Oreochromis niloticus: one gene and its partner. The protein of the gene in region 1 interacts with the protein of each later gene in a pairwise test. Links are inferred from orthologs where the notes say so. Each region holds a gene or a part of one and is shown on either strand. Other genes may lie near its edges. The genes, in order: katnal1 and cox17.

The links.
Region 2: the proteins of katnal1 (region 1) and cox17 interact in binary tests that used the Homo sapiens proteins (3 or more experiments, as listed by UniProt). The two-hybrid records come from large-scale screens. The link is inferred for Oreochromis niloticus from reciprocal best matches to the Homo sapiens genes KATNAL1 and COX17.

The regions. Positions count from the first base shown.
Region 1 is NC_031987.2:22,557,300-22,570,000, forward strand, and holds the start of katnal1 (katanin p60 ATPase-containing subunit A-like 1), read right to left. Parts: upstream 6,007-12,701; 5' UTR 5,839-6,006; intron 5,210-5,838; 5' UTR 5,198-5,209; coding exon 4,922-5,197; intron 4,366-4,921; coding exon 4,208-4,365; intron 3,385-4,207; coding exon 3,231-3,384; intron 3,109-3,230; coding exon 2,984-3,108; intron 2,884-2,983; coding exon 2,778-2,883; intron 462-2,777; coding exon 303-461; intron 70-302; coding exon 1-69. Other genes in the region: zgc:101559 (ras-related protein Rab-33B), read right to left, coding at 7,329-7,775, 10,000-10,257. UniProt on the Homo sapiens protein: Regulates microtubule dynamics in Sertoli cells, a process that is essential for spermiogenesis and male fertility. Severs microtubules in an ATP-dependent manner, promoting rapid reorganization of cellular microtubule arrays.
Region 2 is NC_031987.2:27,668,227-27,679,736, reverse strand, and holds cox17 (cytochrome c oxidase copper chaperone), read right to left. Parts: upstream 5,037-11,510; 5' UTR 4,901-5,036; intron 4,015-4,900; 5' UTR 4,008-4,014; coding exon 3,889-4,007; intron 3,805-3,888; coding exon 3,720-3,804; 3' UTR 3,694-3,719; intron 3,163-3,693; 3' UTR 2,996-3,162; downstream 1-2,995. Other genes in the region: popdc2 (popeye domain-containing 2), read right to left, coding at 98-591; hcn5 (hyperpolarization activated cyclic nucleotide-gated potassium channel 5), read left to right, coding at 8,463-8,647, 9,636-9,822, 10,392-10,496, 10,675-10,812.

The DNA of each region.
Region 1 (12,701 bases):
TGTTCCTCTCCTGCCACAGATGGAGTCGATCTCGTCTATAAAGATGGTCGTTGGCGCATAAAATCGGGCCTGAGAAGGAAGAAGTTTCGCATTGTGAGTTTCCTTTCCGCTGCAGTGCACACACACATGTAAATAGGAAGCGGCCGTATTCTTCTGTGCTGCTTTTATCCAAAGTGCTTCGTAATTTCACTTTGATTCACCCATTCAAAAAACATACACACACACTCACAGGGAACGAGATGAAATGCAAGGGTTCAGCATTTTGCCCATAGGCCCAAATACTTATTTCCACACACACTCACCATTTCAAACAGCAGACGGACAAGTTTTTCCGACTCGCCCCTGTATTTGGAGGTCAACGTGGAGGAGGACACATTGAAGAAAGTGGTCCCACATTCTGTGGCCACGGCTTTGGCTAACATGGTTTTCCCCGTACCTGGAGGGCCGACCATTAATACACCCTAAGAAGCAAAATGTCACACAATCTTAAAACATATAAACGAATGAACTTGCACACACACAGAGAGAAAGCATCAGGCTGCAAACACAGAGGATCAGTATTCAGTTCACTACGACTATTAACAGTCATTATATCAGTATGCGGCTCCCACATTCCTTTTAAGAACTTCCTGGGAAATAGACTTAATAGCTGCCTTGTCAAGACTCACATGAGAAGATCGATACCAAGTTAAACATTACGATAGTTGAGCACACAGGAGATTTGGGGGGAGGGGGCTAGCTCAGTCCAGATGTTAAAAAAAAAAGAAAAAAATCCATTTACCAGCACCTCTAAAGCTCGCTCCTGTGAGAATAGGATATTAGTCTGAATGTGAATGGATTGCCTTCCCGTAGACTGTAATCCCTGTTTGAGACTGGATAATTGCGTGTTATTTAAAAGCCTGTGATATTAAACAAAAGTGTCAAACCCTGATTTAAATCTCCTCTATAACCATTTTTTAATATCGCTGCCACTCCGGCGTCTAACAGTTCTATATCTGCTCGGTGCCTTTTGCTACGGAGATTACAGAAACCACAAAAGGAAGCACGGCTGACATAATCCATTTCATTTTAAAGAAATTTTATTTTTATGCCTCAGTCAATTTAGGCTAGTGTGTCTTACGCTGACTGCAGGACTGAGTCGAGCTACTCGGAATATAAAACAGTACTGCGGTGGGTATTGATCAGAATCTCAGCAGGAGCAGATGGGAGCGTATGTGCACCTGCATTAGGAGTAGAAACAGTCAGACGTGCTGCAGAGCACAGAACAAAACGGAACTGCGTAGACCTAAATGTGCGTGCTAATAAAATACATGCCTCCACTCACCTGTGTGCTGAGAAAACAACCATTAACCTGTTTTCCTCTGCAACTGACTTATCACTCTTTAATTTTACTTCACTTTCAGCGATTAAAAAAAGAAAAAGAAAAAAAAGTCTATCCATCTATTTAAAGTTAGTGAAGAATTTTAATTATGCATGCCTATATAAGACAAATGAAAAGCATTGTGCTCCTATAACCCCCCCCCCCATAAAGTATTAACCCTCACATGGTTGGGCCTCAAGGGAAGCGGTCTCACATGATGAAAGTTTAACCGAGGCTGATGCAGAAGAAGCCTCCCATCTCTGTGGAGTCCGTGGAGACTGTGACTTTGTAAAAACATTTTAGTTGGTGCATTTTACTTGTGATCAGGCTACGTGATCAGCCGGGCTTCGAAGTTTACCGCTCTTTCTGAATTTAGCCAACTGCATTCTGCAGTGTATTGGTAGATGTTACCTGTTTATAGATAAAATGAATGACATTACATATGCAAGTTGTTCCATTTTATCAAATGACATTTGCAGATTGGTTCTTATTCTTAAAATGTGTCTTCATCTTCCTCATCAGTCATTTATTTGAGGCTGAAGTTATCACAAATGAAAATTATTTGATAATTTAGTGGTTTTTTGTGATGTCTGTCAAGCTCTCTGTGTTAGCTTGCTCTCTCTCTCCACTCACTGAACCTCGACTTTATGGAAATTTGCATGCATGAACACAAGACAGAAATAAGAAGGAAAGCGTCACTTTCTGATTCTGAACAGGCGCGACTTGTTTAACATTTACTGTTAATGTTACTGTTAGGTGAGCCAAAATATTATTATTTATTGTCTTTATTTAAAACAAGCACATGTTGACTGTGAACGACTTCGACGTGATTTTATGCTGTATTTACTTGGAACTGTTAAGTTGTTGATGGAATCTTTTATGCCACGGCAGAAGAGAAATGCTAAGTTTGACATTTTAATTACTCGAGAGAGAGAGAGAGAGAGAGAGAGAAATGTGCTGCATGAGGCCAAATCTCACGTGATCAGATACAACGAGACGATCATTTTTTAGGAAATTATACAGGAAAGTTTGGAAACATGTGGACAGAAACGAGCAAGATAAAACAAAAGTCTGCAGAACTGAACTGAGGCTGACTTGAGTTGACAGTGATAGTGTCAACAGAAATGGTGCACTTGAATGAAGTGCTAGATTTAGTGTGAAGCTAACTAGTCTTGATGTAGAAGTTGGTGTTGACCTTAACGCTCAAACTTTGATGTAGCTGGTGCAACATGCTGCAAGATACTCAAAATGGTAGGTGTGTTACTGAACAAAGTGAGTAGCTCACAGCTGAGAAACATCTTTATAGATTTCTGTAATTACATACACATTTTTTAAAACTCCCAGTAAGGAACTAGATAAAGTTTGCCTGTAGAGAATATGTGAAGAATCACAGGTGTGTTTGTGTATGTGCGTGTACCTTCCATGGGCGGCGAATGCCCTTAAAGAAATCAGGCATCCACATCGGCAACACCACTGCTTCTCTCAACAGCTTCTTAGCATCTTCCAAATCAGCAATGTCATTCCTGCAGTTTACCAAAGTAATTAGCCAGCAGCGCTGTTGAAATATGTCCTCATTGCAGAACCTTAGAAGTATTATATAAGTATCAGAGGATCCTTCCATACCAGTGCACGTTAGGGTTACGGGACACAATATCTCTCTCCAGCGAGTCCACCAGGTCACTGTCATATCCTGTGCCATCAAACTTCTTATGCCCTTCATCCCCCTGCACATCTCCCCCTCTCTTTCCCTGATGGAGAAAAACAGATGGAAAAGAAACAAAATAAAAACCTGATGTGTTTGGAGCACAGCCTTACTCATTTCCTATTTATCAATCTGTCCACTAAACCATGACACAGCCGGAGTCTAAACCTTATCATCTTTGCATTTTGTGAATCCCGGCCGGTCTGCTTTAGCGCTGGCCTGAGCATGGCCTCCCGGCCCTGCCCCTCGATGCTGCAGGCCAGGGGACTCTTTCCTCTGCTGCTTCACTCCACTGTTGGGCCGCTTTACTGGAACAGGATTCCTACAGAGACATATGCGTAGGAATATACAAATGGATAATAGTGTGATAATAACAGGACACACCTACATAGGGAGCCATCAACCACAGGTTCCCATCAGTTTACCAAATGTTTCTATAGAGCATTAGCTATAAACCAGCTCTGCTACTTTTCTGCAGAGGCACATTGTGCTTGTAAAGATGAAAGTGATTATGCAAAATATGTCTCTTTGTACTTTAAAGAGCTCTTCCTTATGGAGATGTTGTGTTCCAGAGTTTCTGGGTAGCATCACTAACAATCATCTCTGTCAAAACTGATGTTCAGTAAGTTAAATACATATATAGTTTGCCACTGAGAAAGCATTTGTAATCTGCAGTTAAAAGGGAAAAAAGTCCATATTTTTTGTTTGTGTTGTTTTAAACTCCACATGAAAAGAAAAAAAAGAGAACTGACAAAAAGATAGCAGTCTGCAAGAATCTTTTTAAGCTTTCTGTGTATTATATGTATTATATGGAATTAATGGTCTTAAAATAATACAATTTTTCCTCCAAAATTTAGAGAGTGAGGCTAAGACACTGCACTGTGCATGTAGTTTATTATGGGTGAGTTTGGAGTATAGTTTAAAACAAAATTATAACCCAAACTTTTTTAGATCACAGTGCGACACGCTTACTATAACGCTAAATAAGAACTACTTTATGTTTTTTTCCCCAACTGATACCTCAGCTGGTATTTGTTTTGCTGGCTCACATATTCAAAACTTCACTTATTTATTTTAACTGACAGCAGGAAAAGAAGAAAAAAAATCCATGAAGCTAAAAACGTAGCTCCAACACATCCACACACCTGTGCTCTGCAGGGATGGGAGGGGGCCACACAGCTGGATCTACTCTCTTCTCCGGCTGCAGGGCTTGGATGTCAGTCGGCTTCTCTGACTTAAAGCTCTCCAGCGTTGTCATGATAGTTTTCACTTGCTCGCACTCCTCAGTCAGTTCCTTACTAAGCTGGAAACAAACGGAAGAAGTATTGTATTTGCACTGCATCACTGAGCAGCCAGCTGAAAATACAGCAGCTGAACTAACAAAAACATACAAAAAAAACCAAAACAATGCACAATGTTGGGCAAAAAAGCAAAACCACAACAACAACAAAAAACTCCTTCAAGAAGCATGGCATAAAACACAGCAGATCGATATATAGGCAACAATTTGGGTAGTTACTTAATTTAATAAAGTGCTTAATTAGCATTTAAGTCAATGGTAACCAGGACATAAAAAGAGCAAATATAGAAATCACCAGATAAATCTTATAAAATACTCGATATTAGCTTTTTATTTTTCATTTAAATTACGCCATCATCTTTGCGTGCCAGAGTTCACCATAGATTTAAATTCAGGATTCTCTGAGTGCCAGGCTTCTCTCTTATAATGTCTCTGCATTTACACCAGCAACATTACAGAATGCTTTTGCATGTATTTTGTCCACCAGAGACGACCAAACTCATAGATCACAACAAACATGAGAAATGACACAAATTAAAGTTTTCTTAAAATTATCCACCTTGAACAAAAAACAGCCGTTGACATTAAAGGAAAGCTTTTCATCCAGGATTAAGTCCCATGTACAGTTGAACTGAAGTCTCAGGTTCAGTAACTGATATACCACGGGACTCACCTGTTGCCATCTGACTGTAAGTGCAGGGTCTCTGAGGGACTGACAGTGCTTGTGGATCTGTTGAATGACGCCCTGGTAGTACACAATGGAGGAGTCATAGTTCCCAAGCAAGGCGTACTCTCGGCCCTTCTTGGCGTTATCACATATGTCTGACAGATTCATGCTTAATAACAGCTACGTGGAAAAAAAGAAACAAGCAATTGCATGACCTGATTAGTGAAACAGTAAGAGTTCAAAGGTCAAAGGAGTTTGCAAAGAAACTGACTACTTTGACTACGATGACCTGGATGACTGAGAACCTTCACAGACATAAGAGTTCAAAGGTTAATTCTAGTTCAGTGTTTCAATCTAAAGCCTCCACGTTTTTCTTCCTTTTATTAATATTACTATTATTAAATGTCCTCATTATAATTGAATGTTATAACACGATGGGGCAGCTCCTTGAATGTCGGCTGCCCATCAGATACCTCAGAAACGGCTACACCCGGTAAAGCACGTTAGTTAAGCTAGCTGATGTCGGTTTTGAATGAACGCATTTGCCCCAGGCGCTTCACCTGCTTACTAAATGAAACCTCTGTTCAAATCAGCTTCTTTTTTTAAGCACACCCTGTAATATTACCGGCGTTAGCCCTTTGCTAGCTTGCTACTAGGCCACAGAGGAGAAAACAAAACGAATCCTGTGGCAATAACCCAAACGGTACTTAATCCTCCCAGCGTGCGTTCAAATTGCCGGTAGACAAAAACACCCTACCGACGAGCTAAATTAAATTTTAATTGCGTGTTTACAAAAAAAATTCTCATACCTGTATGAAAAGCCCTCGCTTGTATGCTTTTTAATCAGATGTCCAGCATTGAGGACAGTGTTACCATGGCCGCGGAGAGACGCCGCGCGAGGAATACAAACGGCTCTTTGCCGTGCTGCTTTCACGGATTTGCTGCAGGCTGGTAAATGTGACACCCTAGACGTCGCCGATGAAAGCAATTCGGCTGCTGACCTGTGATCGCCGCTTATATATTAACGCAGTCAAAATCTAACCTAGTGTAAGGCCTAAATTGTTAGATGTATTCTATGTATAAATACACAATTAGCTACAAATGAAGGATTTGCTATTTTACGTGTTTACGCTAATGTATCAAAAGAGCTATGTCATGCACAGGTTTGCCACTGGTCGTCGCTAATGTGTCAAATACTGCAAGGTATCGTCTTTAATTTCACTACAAAGCTTGTAGCTGTAGTTTTGGAACTTTTAATCGTGTAACACGATCCTTTTCAAGTGATTAAGTGAAACTTTTTTTTCCTTAGCACAAATTAAAGCGGATCTAGATTGGCTACAGGTCATGAATTAAAATGAAAAAAAACCCCAAAACACACACATATAAACACACCAGCTGTGAAGCAATAACTGACAGAGCAGTGTTGACTCAGCGGTGACCACCGCTAACATTACACTTGGAGTGGCAAGCAACACCAGAAACATTAAGAAAAGAACATGACACCGAAACAACCACTTTTATTGATTTTCATCTTTACAGTGTATTATTATTATTGTATACATGCAACACATTAAACAGTCAGCTGTGGTGTTTTTCCTCAGATCCACTGAATTTCTTTTTAGGCATGCTTTTCAAGTGAACTAGGTGGAGCAGCTACATTTTATCCCTTGTGTTCTTGATCTTTCTCTTCAAACAGCTGTCCATGTGCATTAGCTGACACAAATACATTCAATAACAGCACCAAGTCTCACACTGCACTTTTAAGAACTAAAATATCACTTCAGAACATTCAATTGCAGTGTTCGTCACAGTATCAGCATATCCTATTGGTCCCTTTACACACACACACACACACAAAAAAAATCAATTTTTCTCTTCATTACGTTTGTCTTTTAATTGCATTGAGACCTGCAGATACACTATAGTGCAGTAATGCTGCTGTACTGGCAACGGCTGCATATCATTTATGATCATGCATCCACTAAAGTGCGCTCTGCAATCTTCTGTTTGCAGACTCGGCGATCCGAAGTGCAGTTTGGGCTACAAATACTCGGCATACCTCCATATGCATTCATGCATTTTACTGACTTGTTTATTTAATTTAGCTGTGCCTCATACCAGGCAGGGAAAATTGTAAAATCTTACCAAGCTTCTATCATTTCTAGCTAACTGATATGAGAGTGCTTTATAAATTTTAAGCCTCTGTGTTGTTGAAATCTGCTTTTCTCAGCACACTCCTGAAGGACTGCCATGATAGTATTATATAATCCAAGTACATCCATGGAGGATGTAGGTGACCTCAGCATTGACAAGTTGCTGCTTCCCGCTCTCTCTGGTTCCACATTTGCCTCAAATTGCTCTCACTGGGCTGCTTTAGTCTCAGGGGTTTGTGGCTCTTCAGCCTGTAAGCTAAAGTCAGAAAGATAGCATCCACATTTTCCTTTTCAGACGGGTCCTTGGCTGAAGTCTCAAACAGCGGGAAGTTGTAGCTGTCAGCGAGACACTGTGCGGCTGATGTGGGAACCTCCCGGCGGTCCCTCAGGTCACACTTGTTTCCTACCATGATGCGGGGCACAAGGGGCCCCACGGAGTGCCGGCTGCACTCCTGAATCCACTCGGGGATGCTCTCGAAGGAAGAAAGGCTGGTCACGTCATACACAAAGATCACAGCGTGGACGCTGCGGTAGTAGTGCTCCACCATGCTCTTCCTGAAGCGCTCCTGACCTGCTGTGTCCCAAATCTGTAACTAGCACAGCAGAAACAAATTGATGCCACAGAGTCCTATTTAAAGCATACGGCCAGTGTTATTTTATATTTGTGTTTTTGCCAGCCAGTTCAATAGGAGGCAGCAAAGCGTCATTCCAGCTTCCCTATTTTGTTTATGCTGCTCAGCTCCAACCTTCAACGTTTGTTCCTACTAAGTGCTTACATATGCTGTATGTGTTTGTGTGTGTGTGTAAATATACATCTCTATTTTTGCAGAATTACATACTGTTTTTTTCTTAATGTTTCAGCATGATGCATCTTGATTTTTTTCAAAACAAAGTTTTAGCAGCCTCAGGGAAATGGAAGGATACTGCACAGCAGAATAAGCCATACTTTATTAGGGATGGGTATCGAAAACCGGTTCTTGTTGAGAACCGGTTCCCACTGTTTCAATTCCTTGGAATCGTTTGCCATTTTTGCAAACGATTCCCTTATCGATTCCAGTCGCCCCGAATGACGTCACCACGTTGCGGAGCGTCGGAGCGTACCTGGCAGGAAACACGGCGCCTAAGCGGCTCAAACGCTCAAAAGTTTGGTTATACTTTACCAGAACGGATGACAACAGGGCAACTTGCAATACTTGCAAAGTAGATATTTCATTTAAGGGAGGAAACACTACGAATATGCAAAAGCATTTGCTCACAAAACACGCGATGAACTTAAATGAATGTCGTGTTTTTAATTCCGCTCCGGACTCGTGAATCTCAACCCAGCAGCAGTGGTAACGTTTGCACGTCATCTCCCGTTAATGCGGCAGGTAAATAATCAACTAACAGTGCATATTATGTTAGCGCGATCTGCTTTATTACAAAACCTGCCATTACTGTGCGCTGCATTTAGGTGACCGTGATGAGAGAGACAGACAGTCTGGCTGGCGCTCGCTGGCAGTTGTCGCTGCAGTCCACCGGTAGCGTCTCTTTTCAGGCCCGAATGTCACCGAGCAGTGACTAAGTTTGTGGTCAAAACCTTGCAGCCATTTGCCACAGCAGATGGTAAGTGAATGTGTTTAATTGTAGGCAGGGACATTACTGAATATTCTTGTGTAATTGCTACAGAATAATTTATGTTATACTTTGTTATTGCTACAGAAGAATATTTATTTTATTATTTTACATTTACAATTTTCCCCGGGGACCCTGTGACACCCCATTGAAGAGCCATAGGCTGGATCTCTTAAGATCTCACTGTTGGGTTTATAAGGCCATGTTACTCCTAAATTTCTATCTTGTTCAGAGAGAAGATATAAAACAAAATTCTAAGCTAATCGACCTTAGTGTTCTCCTTTTTAAAAATAAGAATCGATAAGAGAATCGATAAAGAATCGAATCGTTAAACAGAATCGAAAATGGAATCGGAATCGTTAAAATCTTATCAATACCCATCCCTATACTTTATCACCACAGACTCAATCAACTGCTGGGTTTTTGCGCTTGCTAAAAAAATGTCGGTTAAGTTAGGATAGTTGGGACATTTGTGCAGCAGACACTTGAGCATCTTATAGAAGGAGAACCTGAGGTTTAAATTATTAAACCAGAGATGGCTGAATTCCTTTTATCGGCATTCGGGTAATGTGCATCCTGGCTCACTGCCTTTTACTCACTCACCGTCATGGTTTACTGAAACACCGACAGACAGAGCTAATGTGAGTGTCATTATCATAGACTGCATGTTCCCACTGTGATGCGTCAAATTGTCTGCTGTGGAAAGTACTCCAAAATAGACCTTTTTTGACAGCACCTCCAAAAAACTGGGTTTAAATTTGCGGGAAAAAACTATTAAAAATCTACTTGGGTGACTTGTTATTGTGTTGCGTCTGGATCACTTCATCAGACTGAGGCATGGTTAATAAGATCTGTTTCACTTTGACTGGAAGCTCGTAAAAAGGGGGAAAATCTCCAGGCAAACAGGACTATAAGCAGGCATAGAATGAAAATGAACAAGAACAGAAATGACTGTGAACTGGCTTTACACCAAGTTTCGTTATTCCCTTTCTTGTGAACAATGACAATGGCCTCATAGGGGTGACAAAGCCTTCATTTTAACAACCGGTCATTTTAAAGTAAGCTCCATCACATGCCTACAGGCTGAAAACAGACTCCAGGTCAGGCTCTGTGAGCTGACCTATAAACCTAACATAGACAAAAAAGCAGTGGACGTTCACGGGTATCTGCCGTGTGCCTTTCTTAAAATGTAGGACTTCTCACCTTGATACTCTCTCCATCCAGCTCCAGCGTCCTCTCTCTGAAATCGACCCCGATAGTTGCCTCGGGGTTTTTCAGGAAAGTGCCCCCGCAAAACCGGTAGGTCAAACACGTCTTCCCCACATTTGAGTCTCCTATTACTATTATCTTGAAAATCCGAGCGTGTGTAGTGTCGTATTCGTGGTGAGAGGAGAGCTCCAGGGAGTCGTTTCGACTGAAAATTGTGTCAAATTCCTCCCCAGGTTTGTTTTCTATTGCCATTGCTCATCTTCTCGCGGTCTAGACGGCGCTACAGCTCTGAAATATCGCGAGACTCCAAAGGAGAGTACCTTTGAACCTATGTACCTAAACGTAGCTGTAGGCTACGTGCAGAATACAAGTAATTCATCAAATTCTTGTGTTATTTAGCTGTACACATTATTCTTTAGAGATCTGATAGAGAACTTGCATGAGGAAAAGAACAATTAAAAAAATGTAACGTGGAATATGGTTAGAGATTATTTTCCCCTTTCCTTTCATTTTAATTACTCATTTTTGGCCATACACAAAAATGACAGCATGGTTGTGCCGATTTTTTTTTCTGTTTCCCTTCCTTAAGAATGACCTCATGGCAGCCATCCTCTCCATTCCCGATTGGCCTTCAAGGAACAGCAACAGCCCCCCCGCATTTCTTAGAAAAAAACACTTAAAAAAAAATAAAGACTAGAAAGTCTAACTGATTGGAAAAAAGAAATGAGGGGTGAATCAAGTCTTCCGCACAATAAATACAAAATATTTGAGAAAAGTTTTTTTAAATCAATAAATTTTTATTTTTAAAATCATGTATGCTATTATATTTATATACATACAGACATATCACTCAACCACAAACACTCCAAGAGCACTAATATATTAACCTCATACAAATTTGTACAACTTACAAAAAAGAAACAAAGAGAACATCTAACAATGGAAATCCATTAAACAGAGACAGTCTCAAATAAATACAAACGTAAGATTTAAAAAGAAAAAAAAATCATTCTGCTTTTCTGCAGCAATTCAGTCAGTCAACACATCATGAATGTCTCATAAAAAAGAAAAAAGTATTACCAATACTTTCATTAATGACACATTTTTCTATTAAAACTCAATCCTCCTAGAATTAGAACCTTTTTGAACTATTTTTCTGTTTTGCACCATATTAAACTCACAATACTCACAAGACCACTCTTCAGAACCCGAACCTTCCAGTTTCACCATGCAGTGGCAATAAATACGACTTCTGTAAAACTCAGCACTACACACACTTGTAGCTCTGCAGCATACACTGATGTTTATTTGACACATTTACCAAAAACAGCTTTATAATCCACAGCCAAGCACCCCATCTACTTCAATAAACTTCATTGTTCATCAGAGAGACAGTCGGGACTGCACTCATTTAACAGTTTATTTTGTAAACCCAGCTCTGGAGCCAGCAGCTCCATTTCTACCATGCCTTCGCTGCATGTCATTACCCACAGTTCCTCTCCCTTTACTCCCAAAACTGCTTGATAAAAATCCCCTGACTAAGACTCATTCGTGATTATACTCTTCAGTGTTTTCAGAGGTGCTGATTCAACTTTATGGTCATTATTTTGTGTGATCCAGCATTCTGCTGATGAGGATTTGTAATATTTTATCTCCACCATTTATCTCAGTAAGTGCAAATAGCGTAGGGGTTGCTTGGCTGGGCTTCTCTGCAGTGTTCCGGCAAGCAGATAAATCATCACACCCAAGCAATACAAAAAAAAAAAAAAACTGTTGCAACACACAAAAAAATAAAGTATAGATAAGAAAACACACATACACTCTCTGATTTCAAACAAAATCATAAAACACAGCAGCCGTCACCAGAACATCCGGATCGCACTAAATCTAAAAAGGAACCTCTGTCATCGCAAATGGGCTTTTGCTGAAGCCTAAACCTGAGAGAGTGTACAGTACATTGGCTCCTAGACTTCACGCAGTAGTTTTTACAGCACCGCCTGTGTGTGTGTGTGTGATGTCGCTGTGTGCATCAACTACATAAAAAGGACCATAAATTTTAAAGCCCAGTTCATAACCAGTTATTTCATAGTCATAAACAAGAGGCACTTGAGATGCCTGATATCACAAACACTCAAGCCATGATTTCACGCCGATCTTAAGCTCGCATGCTTATTTATTCACTCTAAAGAGAATGGCTTACCCAAATAACTCTTCATGTAACATAAAGTTAAAGCTTAATAGCGGCTCTCCACTCAGGAGTACTAGTGGGCACATTCGTACAGCTTTAGGTTCTTCTGGGTTTGGCGTGGACAAATCTCTCACAGGCTCTACAAGCTCGGAGAGAAGGTCCTCAGGAAGCATGTGATGAAAGCATTACAGCTGTGGTATCCATGTGAAACCTTTAGGTGTTGCACGCAAAAGACGCAAAGCACTACTGCTAATCCATCAGTTTTCTTTTTTTCCCTTTTCTACTCCGTGAAACTTTTGTTTCACTTGCACTTTCACTGCCACTCTGTTTCCACATGGATCCTGTTTAGTCCCACAGATTCTCTGACATTTTTGAACCAGGAAAAGCAAGGGTGGAAGTAACAGCGTTAAGTGATGGCTCAGTTCCAGCAATTATTGCAAAGAATTGCAATTATTCCCAATTAGTAACCCCTGTATTTGCCCAGTAAAAATACTGTGAAAGGGCAACG
Region 2 (11,510 bases), about 5.1 Mb from region 1:
CAGTTGAGGTTGCGTGCCATCTTCTTGGAGATGTGTGTCAAAGTGTAATTGTCTGCGCACACAGACACACACACAAACACATTGCCCACTCACTCACCTTCCAGAAAGCAGAAAGGAGAGCTGGTCAATGGGGGTCTTTCCCTCCACAGCATAAGTCTCTCCTGCTTTCAGCTCCAGCACCTTGTTCTCAAAAGCCTTTGCAATCTCCTTGAACACCTGGACAGGCACGCCCAGGGGCAGGTAGACCGCCTGGTAGAGGGAGGCCAGCTCCTCACCTCGTATGCCCTCCTGGTGCAGCCGGTAAAGGAGGTGACAGAGCTGAAGCAAGCAGACCAGTAGTAGAAGCAGGTTCCAGGTGAAGACATCCAGGCCGCACACTGTAAGCAATCCCCACAGAAGGAGACACAGGAAACCGGGACAAAGGAAGCCGAAGATGAAGAGGCACCCGTAGGCCCCGCTTCCTCCCATGTAGCCCAGAAAGAGGATGGTGTTACCCAACTGGTAGATGGCTCCCTCTGTGTTGTTGCTCCAGCCATCGCAGAGAGGGGGAAAGAGCAGGCTGTCCAGCAGGCTAGAGTTGTCTGCACTCATGTTTAAATCTTTTCGAATAAGTTCTGGAAAGGCTCTTGGTGCACAAAGCAAAGTTTGTTTGTTTTGTGGGGTTTTTTAAGAAGGGACCAATAACACTTGTTATCCACTCAAACTCAGTGCTGTTTCTGTCCTATTACTAGATCATCTGTTTGGATTACAGCTTGATTAAAAATAAACAGCCTGATACTGACCAAAAATGTCAGATGTAATTGTTTGTTCCCTTGGCGTGCAGCGGCAGAAAATTCTTCACCGTGAAGATGTTATCACAACTCTATTTGTTGCAGAAACACAGCTGGAATGGGTTTCCTCTGTTTCTTCTCCTCTCATCATGCGTCCCTTCCTCTCTCCTCTGGCTTCTCGCCCCGTCTTTCCCTTCCAAGTTTTCCCGTAGTCTTTCTTGCTGTGCTTTTCTGTCTCTTTTTCTCACCCTCTGGCCTGCACTGTAGAGCCAACAGCTGGAAGAGAAAAGGATAAGGGAGGCGAGGGGGGGGAGTCGATAGGGCCCTAGAAGGATAACCATGTTTGGAATTGAAACCCAAGGAGGACAGAGTGGCAGACAGAAAGCAGGCCTGCTACTTAACATAACAGAAAGAGAGAAAGAGAGCACAAGAGAGAGACAGAGAGGGGGAGAGGGAGGCAGGAAACAGGAGGGACAAGAGGGACTATAACAAGTAGTATCTCAGAGAGACTCACAAAGTGTCACCCACTTTTTTTTTATCCGACAAAGAAGTTCCTCCAGGGGGGTTCAGAGTTTCACACAGGCTTCACTGAGTCCAGTTTGCTCGCAGGAAGTGTGGCTCTGCTGGTGCATATTTAGAGACACTGTAATAAGTAGGATGGCAGCTCAGGTCAGATTTCAGGTATAAACACACACACCAACATCGCCTCACATATCCGGCTCTCAGCGTGTGGACAGCTCACAGGGACTAAATATCAGTCTATATGAATATTGCTCAGTGAAAATAAGAACGAATGCTATTTTAAAATTAAAACTTTGCAATGGAAATTAATATTAAAAATTTCACACCTAGTAATCAGGAGAAAATAGATCGTGTTATAAATGAGTCGAAACTGAGCAAAGTGTTGTTTTTTAAGGTACAAGAATACAGAACTCCATATATTCAGGAACAGTGCTCCCAGTTTTTGACAGATTTTTCTTTCTCTCTGTTTGGCTGTTTGTGTCGCTGTTGCCCTGCTAGTTGTCTCTGGTTGACAGGAGGACAGCAATCTGAATCCTAGTGAATAAAAGCAGATGAAAGCTAGATGGGCTTCTAATGTCTATGATTTCCTTTAGCGTACGGTAAGTGACGAACCAATATGTCGGCCAAACATCAATATTGGCAATAAGGAGGCACACTGTTTGCAGTACTAAATGTTCAGAGATAGTGTAATCAAAAGAAGGATTTTAAATTCAATGCCATAAAAGTTACAGCCAGACGCGCTTTTTCCTCCCGTCAAGGTGGAGGGTGTGTTTTCAGTGCAATTTGTCTGTTTGTCAGCAAGATAACATAAAAAGAAATCTGCCAAATTTCATGTAACCTGACGGAGAAGTGGATCACGTGCAAAAGAAGAAAGCAATAAATGTAGGCGAATTTCTCAATTGCTTCATTTTTAATTTGAGAAACAGAGCTTTGGTTTTTGCATTCTCCATGAGCACCCTTCTGTGTAAGATTTCTCTCATTTGTTGCAGACATAAAATTATGAATGTTAGCTAAGTGAACAGATAATCTCTCATTTTAAGTTAGTATAAGCATGCACTGAATTAAGAATCTGACATGATTTGAGGTGACTTTTAAACTGCTGACTGGCAACATATACAGATATATATAACATAATAATTTCAAACTACAACATTATAAAGCACATTAAATTAGAAAACGTAAATTGTAACATAGCTTATGTTAATAGGTTTGTTTATACAACCTGTGTACAGTATTGAATCTTTGATACTAATAATTTTACTTTGCACTTGTCAGCCTACAGAGATGTGAGAAACACTTCCTACATGACTACTGAGGGATATTTACTATGTTTAAAGTGGTCCTATATACGTATGTAATGGTATACATATACATAATCATGTATGTATATAATCCCTTCAGTGTAGGCATAATATGAAGTGAATTAGGAGTGTTTTCCAATACACTATCGCATTCCTTTCAAGTGTTTTTTCAAAGTGTGAAAATAATGTCCACAGCCAAGCACACTTCAGTGACAGTGACACACTGTGGAAAAAGAATGCAGATATGCCAAGTATTGACTTTGCAGGGGCAAGAGTTATATTTAACTGTAAGTGCATACCAGGAACAGCAACTGTGGCAAGCAACCGTTTCCCTTGGCAGAACAGATCCTCAATGCAAACCTTAAGATGAGTGCACGACTAATAAAACACCTTCACAACAAGTTTATTGCATAGGATTTTTATTCAATTTCACATCAGAATTTCTCAGATTTTGCAGACTTGAAAAAATAGTTTTCGCACAGTTAATCCAACAAAAGGTATAAATAAGAAGTGCAGGGGGGGAGTGAAGAAACAAATACTCAGGGTCACCTTCCACACACAGCAACACACTGCAAGAGACCAAAATGCACACAATCAGCAATTCACATGACTACTACATCACACCTGACACTGTATGCAAGTGAAAAGCTGGAAGATATTTTATTTAAATTGAGCTGTCCTAAAAAGGGCTGCCCTGGCAAAAGGGGAAAGCCGTTAAACCCAGCATAAACAAATAATGCTGATACTACAGTAAGGTCCGGCTTTTTCATGGTTCACAGAAAGGTCAGGTGCCCACTTTCACGCCACACTGACTCTATTCAAACTGGATTCAGGCTGTCAAAGCACATTCAACTAGTGGCATGTAAACTCAGTGTGCAACCATCACATGCAAGTTTCATTTTGACAGTATCAAAAATAATAATGATAAATGTGTGTCACTCAAAGTTCTTGCAATTCTATATTTATATTAAAGCTGACAGTAACATTGTGCATGTTGGTGCACTCATGTTCTAGTGTGGTATCTAATCGCTACAAATGACTCTAGTTCCCTGGAAAAATTAACTCTGGGACTGTTTGAAGTGGTTTTATTTAATACTTACCACACAAGCACGCACAGAAGAACTAGTTAGACCTTGAATCCAAGTGCCCTCATGCAGTCTTTGTGTGCCTCAATAAGGTCCCTGCAGTTTTCCTCTCCCTTTTCAATGATGCTGGTGGAAACAAAGATGTTGGATGAATAACCATTCTCACTTAAAACGTGAAGACCGTTTCAATTTCTCTGGCCAGCTCCTCACCAAGCATCCCTGACTTTTTTTGTTTCCGGACATGCGCAGCATGGCTTCAGTGGCTTCTTCTGCTCTGTGCTCTCAGTCACAGCTGCAGACTCGACGCTGGCAGCAGACAGGGCTGACATCTTCTGACTGAAACAAGGAAATGAGATGAGTTTTGAGGACTGGCAAACTTTAACCACTGAGTAATATGCGTGTATTTTCACTCAGGCTTCATTTAGATTTACACATGTCTTTGTCACCTGACAAACACTTTTCACAGGGAAGCTGGAATATGCAACAGGAATTTTTCTTCACATATCAAATAAAGAGGTGTGAACCGACTGTGGTCCTATGAATTCTTTATTGCTTTGTTTTAATATTCAACAAAAAGGACTAATTGATGTTTGACGACTAGAACACAGGATGAGGAAAGCAATGCCACTAAAATACTCCAAACACTCACGGTCCAACCAGAAAGCTCATAATCATACAAAATACAGTTGAATAAAAGAAGACTGTGAGGATTCGCCAAAGTAAGCCACTATTTTTATTATTTTGGTGTCGCTTCATTATGACGTTTCATAAAACTGCTAATCAACTAATTACGCGTGAAACGTCCTACCATTACACTTATGCTGCTGAAGGGCGCTGAACTGATGCAATGATAAGGTAGTTATGTAGTTATGATTAGGTCAACCGGCAAAGTCACCACATGCAACACACAACACATGACTCTGAAGTATCCGAGCCTTCAGAGAGTTGCTCATAATAAGTTAAAACAAACAAACAAACAAACCCTGTGTTTGCCTCAGTGTTGTGGTTTACTAGCTTTATCTAACCCTTGTTGTGTAATGTTACTGTCAGCTAACAAAGTTAGCTCTCGGTGGCTAACAGTGATGACATAACTAATAACATGCACACAACATACAACATGGTGACAAACGCTTCGTCCAAACCTACTCAAGCCGTAGTGTAGCAATTAAGCCACCTGCTCGTTATGAACGTAGCTAAGCTATGTTGTGTAACGCTCTCTTACTTGTATGAGGAGGCCGACAGTGCCGCTGGTACACAGACGCTTCACCTTCAAAATGAAACTAACATGCGGGAAACACGTGTTCGCGTGTCAAAGTCACGTGACTATGTCATGTGCCGTGTTAGAGACTTTTGGGAAATGTAGTGCTTAGAAACAAAGGCGAGGAGAAAGAAGAGAAACCACCAGGCAGACAGGTATGTGAGTGTATGGTGAACTTGTTAGAGGCATGCTGACATTATTCTCAGTGCTGAATATTCAAGCATTAACTTATGTGCTGATTATTTATTGATTAGTTTACCTTGAAAATATTAGCTAATTTGATTTTTTTTAAACATTAACTTACATGTAAAATTGAAACCCTTAGCTAAAATAGCTAAAGACGATACTAAGTTTAAGATTTCTTTTTTATTTAGTTAGTTTGCTAGTTAGCTAGCCAGCTAGTTATCTGCCATATTCCAACACTGGGTCAGACTATTTCAAATATTCTGTTTGAACTGAAAAAAGGGGATCACAAATATTTATGTCCAACTAATGTCCCCTTTTGATTGTTAAAAGTTTTTCATAGTTAAGGTTTAATTTGGCCAAAAAGACCAAAACAATTGTATTTCTTGTAATAGGTAGGGCAACTATATAGTCCTGCACAATGTAGGACTATATAGTTGAATAAAAGACCCAAATATCACATTACAGATGTAACAACAAGAGAAATGTTGCTAAATAATTTATGAACTATATAACTATAACTGCCTATATTTCCACTGAAAAAATACACATACACATACACATCAAATAAAGAAAACGACAATATGAAAAATACATTATATATTTACATTTATTTAGACAGTATAAAGAAAATGTGCAAAACCTGCTTGGTATATATTACAGAATACATCTGAAAAATGTTTCAGACTGTACATAATCATTTCTACAGGTGCTAATGCTACAGTGTTCTTAAATTCCCACTATATTATGTTCTTCTGTTTTCTGTTTTGTAGACTGACAGAATTAGTACATTAGAAAAAATGTACAAAGGGCAGCTGACATTTAAGATTCAGGATATCAGGTTCATCGACATGGTCGACATCACCAAGCTTCAAGTTCTATTGCACCGTGGTATTAATGATATGTCAGTGCTGGATGATTGCAGATTATTGAGTCCAACCCCAAACATTTAACTTTCAAACATTCACATTTGAGTAGCTGCAACCAGATTTTTAAAATATTTTTATCTTAAAAATTAGAAATAACTTGTTGCAGCATCACGCTTCCTATAAAACCTACACTTTAGTAATAATCAAGAACGTGTACACGCAGAAAATTAACATCAGCACTGCACAGATTTTATTTTTCTACACAATTCTGTAAGATATTCTGTTATGTAAGACGCAGTTGCTGCTGGTGGGTGCAATATACACAACGTTGCCTCGGGAGTTTTGGAATATGAAAAATGTTCATTTTCGGACCTGCAGTACTGAAAGGTATGTGTGCGCTTCAACATGTCTACTGGGTCTATTGTGCGTCAGCACAACAAAGCAATGCGTAAGCAGAGGCAGTGAGTCACTTATTCTAGTTTGAGGGCCAGCTGTGTGCTAGATAAATAAGCAAGTAAGCATATTGTTCACTGTGATACATGCACTTCCATTTTCTGCAGTCTTTGCTATGCTTTCCACAGTATTACTGTGTATGTGAAACATATATAAATGCATATGATGTCTGCAATGTATGCTCAATTTGATCCAAATACTGTTTCAGTGTTCACAAATGGAAGACAGGTGGAGAGCCATAGTTTGAGTCCTGATCGCCTGATGCCTTGTTGTCCGGTCGGCAGAAAACTTCCAGTAGCTTCTGTTGAAAGACAAATGTAGGCCTCCTATTTTACTATTGTTTGATTAGATTATTTGAAACAGACAACTTGCGAAATACACTGAAAACAAAGAAGACAGTTGCAGGCTAAACTGCAGGTTGGGTTACTCAATGAGCTGTTTTTGTCAGGGCTTTCTAACAACCATGCAGTCATCCAAAGCATGCATGAGGGACAATCTGGGGTTCAGCATCTTGAAAAAGAATGAACCGGCTGAGCCTCTGATTAGCAGACAACCAAATGTACCTCCTGAACTACAGATGTCCTGAATGTGTTGTGTATGTTTTAATGCCAGAACTGGAAGTTGAGGTAAATGGTTTGACTTAGAGAGTGTGGAATGTGTTAAATCCATTGTTTCTATTCCATATTAATATTGTTTTACTTTAAATTAACCATAACCAAATACACCAAGAAAAAAGACATTGCTTTATTATTTGAAGATATGTAGCCTGAATTTAATGCTTAATACTTACATGTCAGTGAAAGTGAAAACTACATCAGTATGACATCCAATAATCTCGTAAGTCTTTTTTTGGATTTGAGGTCACAAAGAACTGAAGCCTATTTTAGGACACACACTGAGGGAAAGACACTGTGCACCTGGACAGGTTGGCACAGGTCTAACACACACACGCACACACACACACACACACACACACACACACACACACACACACACCCACACACACACAAGAATCACGTCAACAGAATTTCCCTTGCAAATCTGCAAAGTCTGGACTCTAACAGAGAGAATTTTCTTATACACAACCACTTTTATTGTTTCCTGTACCCTTCTCCACAGGGACAGTTGTACAAAGTTATTAAAAAAGATTTCATCTCATAAAATGTAGCTCACATTATTAGACACATCCCATGGCCTAAGCTGCCAGTAATTCACCTTACCCACTGACACGGTCTCTAAGTTAATCCCACTGTGCTGGCACAACCTCTAATATCAGTTTTATTTTTCGTTTGTTAAACTAACAAGTTTGCAATGAATCCCACCCACCCAACAGAGTTCAAAAAAGATTCAGGTCCAAATTTTCCACTTTGTCATCCAGGGAAATAAATATTTCAGCCTTTGTTTTGTTTTCTGTTACTGATGTGATATGTGCAAACAAACAACATGGGAGCTGGCTCAAAGCTGCATGCATATGTACAGCATCAGGTAACACAGTACAGGGTTTAATTACATCCCTAGTTAGAGGTGGCCCAGGTTGAACTTGTCCCTGTACATGCTGCCAGATGTCTATTTCACATGACAATAATTGCGATCCCTTCCCATCCCCTGTACATGCACACACCCATCATTGTCTTTGTATTAATGTGAGCCGGACCTTGCCCTCTTGACACGGCTTGATTTATGTGGGGATGAGACACAGATACTGAATAGTTGATGAGCTGGGTGAAAAAGAAAAGAAGTGTAGGGGTGGAGTGGGGCAGAAATAGAGAGAGGCAGACGGAGAGGGTGCGGAGGGAGGGAGGGAGGGAGGGATCGAGCAGAAAGGCGGGTATCCACTCGCCTCGCTCCGCACAGCTTCAATAAGCCCTGAGGTTGGGAGCCTAGTTAGAATATTACCTTGTGACCAATAGGAGAGGTCAGAGCTGGTAGAGTCAGGCTCTACTCATCCTCAGGAGAGGCAGAAGCAGCAGTAGCAGAGGGGAGGATGGCATTCGGCTGATCACAGGGAACTAAAGTTGGCCATGGAGAAATTGAAAGGTCCCAACGTAGCATGCACCAAAGCCAACTGTGGATGGAGAGCCCTGCTTCTCCCGCAACTGAACAGACAGTCCCTGTACGTGTACGGCAGCGAGGTGGCCGTGGAGAAGGAGTGTATGCGACAGCTGGAGAGTGGAGTCTTTGTCATTCACCCTTTCAGCCTCATGAGGTATTTAATATATCTGATAGATTGAGGTCAGTCATGCATATCACTTCCACTGTTTCTTTGGTCTGTCTCTGTAAGTTTTTATAGTTAATTGATTACTTAATTTCTCCCTTACATTTAATAAATAATTATGCATTTTATAGTTCAGTTTTTGGAGTATTTACTGGAAATACAAAGGTGCATTGCATTAACTTGTTCCTTAGAATATCATTAGAATAAGTGCATTAATGAAAACAAATATAGATACTGCTTATAGATTTACTGTATCCAGTAGATTTACTGAGTACCATAAGTTTAGCATATTCCATAAATCACACCGTTCACACCATTGTTGGATGAGACAGAAGAGGAATTCCTCTTGAGTTCTCTAGTTTAAACTTTTAAAGTGTTTTTTTCTAGTGTGTTTAAGGACTAGAGTTGTTTGACTGCTAAACAGTATTTATTCATCCAGTCATTTATTGGCAATGAGAATGATTTTCTTCTGATATCACAATAGAGAAAGCTTAGAAATAAAGCCGAAAATAAGATGCATTATTTTTAGGATAAAAGGAAACAAATACATTTTGAAGTGACACAAGAAAACCTAAAAGAACGATCCAAGGTTTATAAGCAATAACCGAGTTAGAAGAAAAATACGGACCTATCAAATGACTTCTTTAAGGAACGCGTTTTCACAGAGAGCTGGTTTTGTATTATATATGCAGGATTGCTAATATTAGTCTGTAAGATGATCAGATGGAGGGAAATTAGAGAGGGAATGAAACAATTGAGATCAGAGAGCAGAGTTATTTGAGCCTGGCAATCGTACCCTGGCTGAGGAGATGTACACTTACATTATCAGAGTATTTAGTGTGCATGAATCGGCTTGCCTTACTGGCTGTCTAATGAGTTCTTCTAGCAAATGATGTGAGACTTTCCACTACACTGTGACATGGAAAATAAGAGTTACTGGAAAGTCACACATATGTTTTTGTGACCATTCCTCCCCTAGGAGTTACTACATCTTGATCATGATGGTCATCACATTTCTGAACCTGATTGGGATTCCCATGGAGATAGCCTTTCTGGACGGAAACAGCGGGCTGGCATGGGAAGGCTTTAACGTGTTTTCAGACACTTTGTTCCTAATAGATGTGGCACTGAATTTCCGGACGGGGATCATAACCGAGGACGCAGAGGTGAGAGTGGCTATATTCTATTTTCAGACACAATCTGGAAGTCTATAATCCGGGTGCAGACGAGCACATACATTCCATCTCTGCACCATCTGTAATCTACTGAATACACGAAAGGCTAGATTAGCGGCATCCCCCTTAGCTCCTGGACACGGGTGAAAACGGCAACTGCTGTTTGATTTTATAACGGGGATTATGATGTTGTGGATGAATGAGAAGTATAACGTTTCAAATTAAGTATTATGCACAATATATCCTGTTTGTTTTCGCTGGCTCGTGTTTCGTGACTTCTGTCTTCCTAATGGCCCATCTGTGATGTTTTTCCTGTGTGTGGTGTTTATTCTCGACCGCACATCTGGTTTTGCCAGATTTACTCTCAGTCTGCTTGAAATATTGATGCATGTGCCTCAGTAACATTTTCAGCACCCTGCCAAACTCGTCTGACATCACACTCACTCTTAGTTTTGGATTACCTCTCCAAATATTGTTTTAGTTCAAGTGTTAAATTATACATGCGATTGTAGCACATGGTGAACGGCGTCTTCATCTATCTGCTCTGTTCTGTTTTACAGGAAGCAATTCTGGATATCAAGCGGATCCGAGTCAGCTACCTGAGGACATGGTTCATTCCAGACGTTATAGCAGCTTTCCCAATTGGCTACATACTGCTGTTTGCGGTAATAATAAAGAGGAAGAGGCAGGAAAAGCCAACACTGTACTTCTTCTGTACTGTATATGTTAGCACTTAGAAAAGGAAGAAAGCCTTGCTGACACTTATTAATTAAGCAAAGTTGTAAATGAGCAAATGAGGTGGATTAAGATTCTAATTGCAGCATTTTTAATGTTCAATGTCAGGGACTACATTACCACAACGATGACAACCCCTCCAAGACCAACAAGATGATGAGGATACTGATGTTTGTGCGGATCCTCAGTTTAATCAGGCTGGCTCGAGTCTCCAGACTGGTCCGGTTCTTCAACGAAGTGGAGAAAGTAAGTTTAAATGCCAGATAGTCTTCAAAGCTCACCTCTGAAATTCAATCAGCCTTTCTCCTCCCTGCTGCTGATACTTACGACACCGGACTCTAGTGACAAATCTGACACTTAGCAATGTCATGCTCGTGCACTGATGGGCAATATGTTTATTTTCTAAGTGAATTTGCCTATCTGTGTTTGGCAAACAGTAAATACAGAAACACTGGGCTCAATCAACATGGGTTTACGTAACAAATGACAGTTTCATATAGGACAACACCGTTATCTCTCTGGCAAGGTGTTTTTATTGCATTATCTATGTTTGTTTATAAACTGGTAGTTGCGATAATAAATGGTTTGTAGTGTGTGTTTTGTTGGGGGTTCCCATAAATCCTGGAAACTTTATGCTGTCCTTTAGCTGTCTTTTTCTTTTGATGAAAGATGCCTGTCTCATCGCTACCAGATCTTGCAGCCAAAAATCTGGGCTCTGTTCAGGAATCAGATCATGTTAGAATGGCAGGCTGAGGGTTAATGTAGTGTTTTATCAACACATCGCTCGCGTTTTGGAGGTGTTCTTGTTTCAGTAAGCTTTTTGTCTATTCTCTTGTCCATTGTGGCAGTTTGTGTCATAAACCTCTGTGGGTAGTGTGCTTTTAACTGACTGGTAAATTAGGTTTGGATCAAGAAATCTGTCCTTAAAGCATATTTTGAGTTTA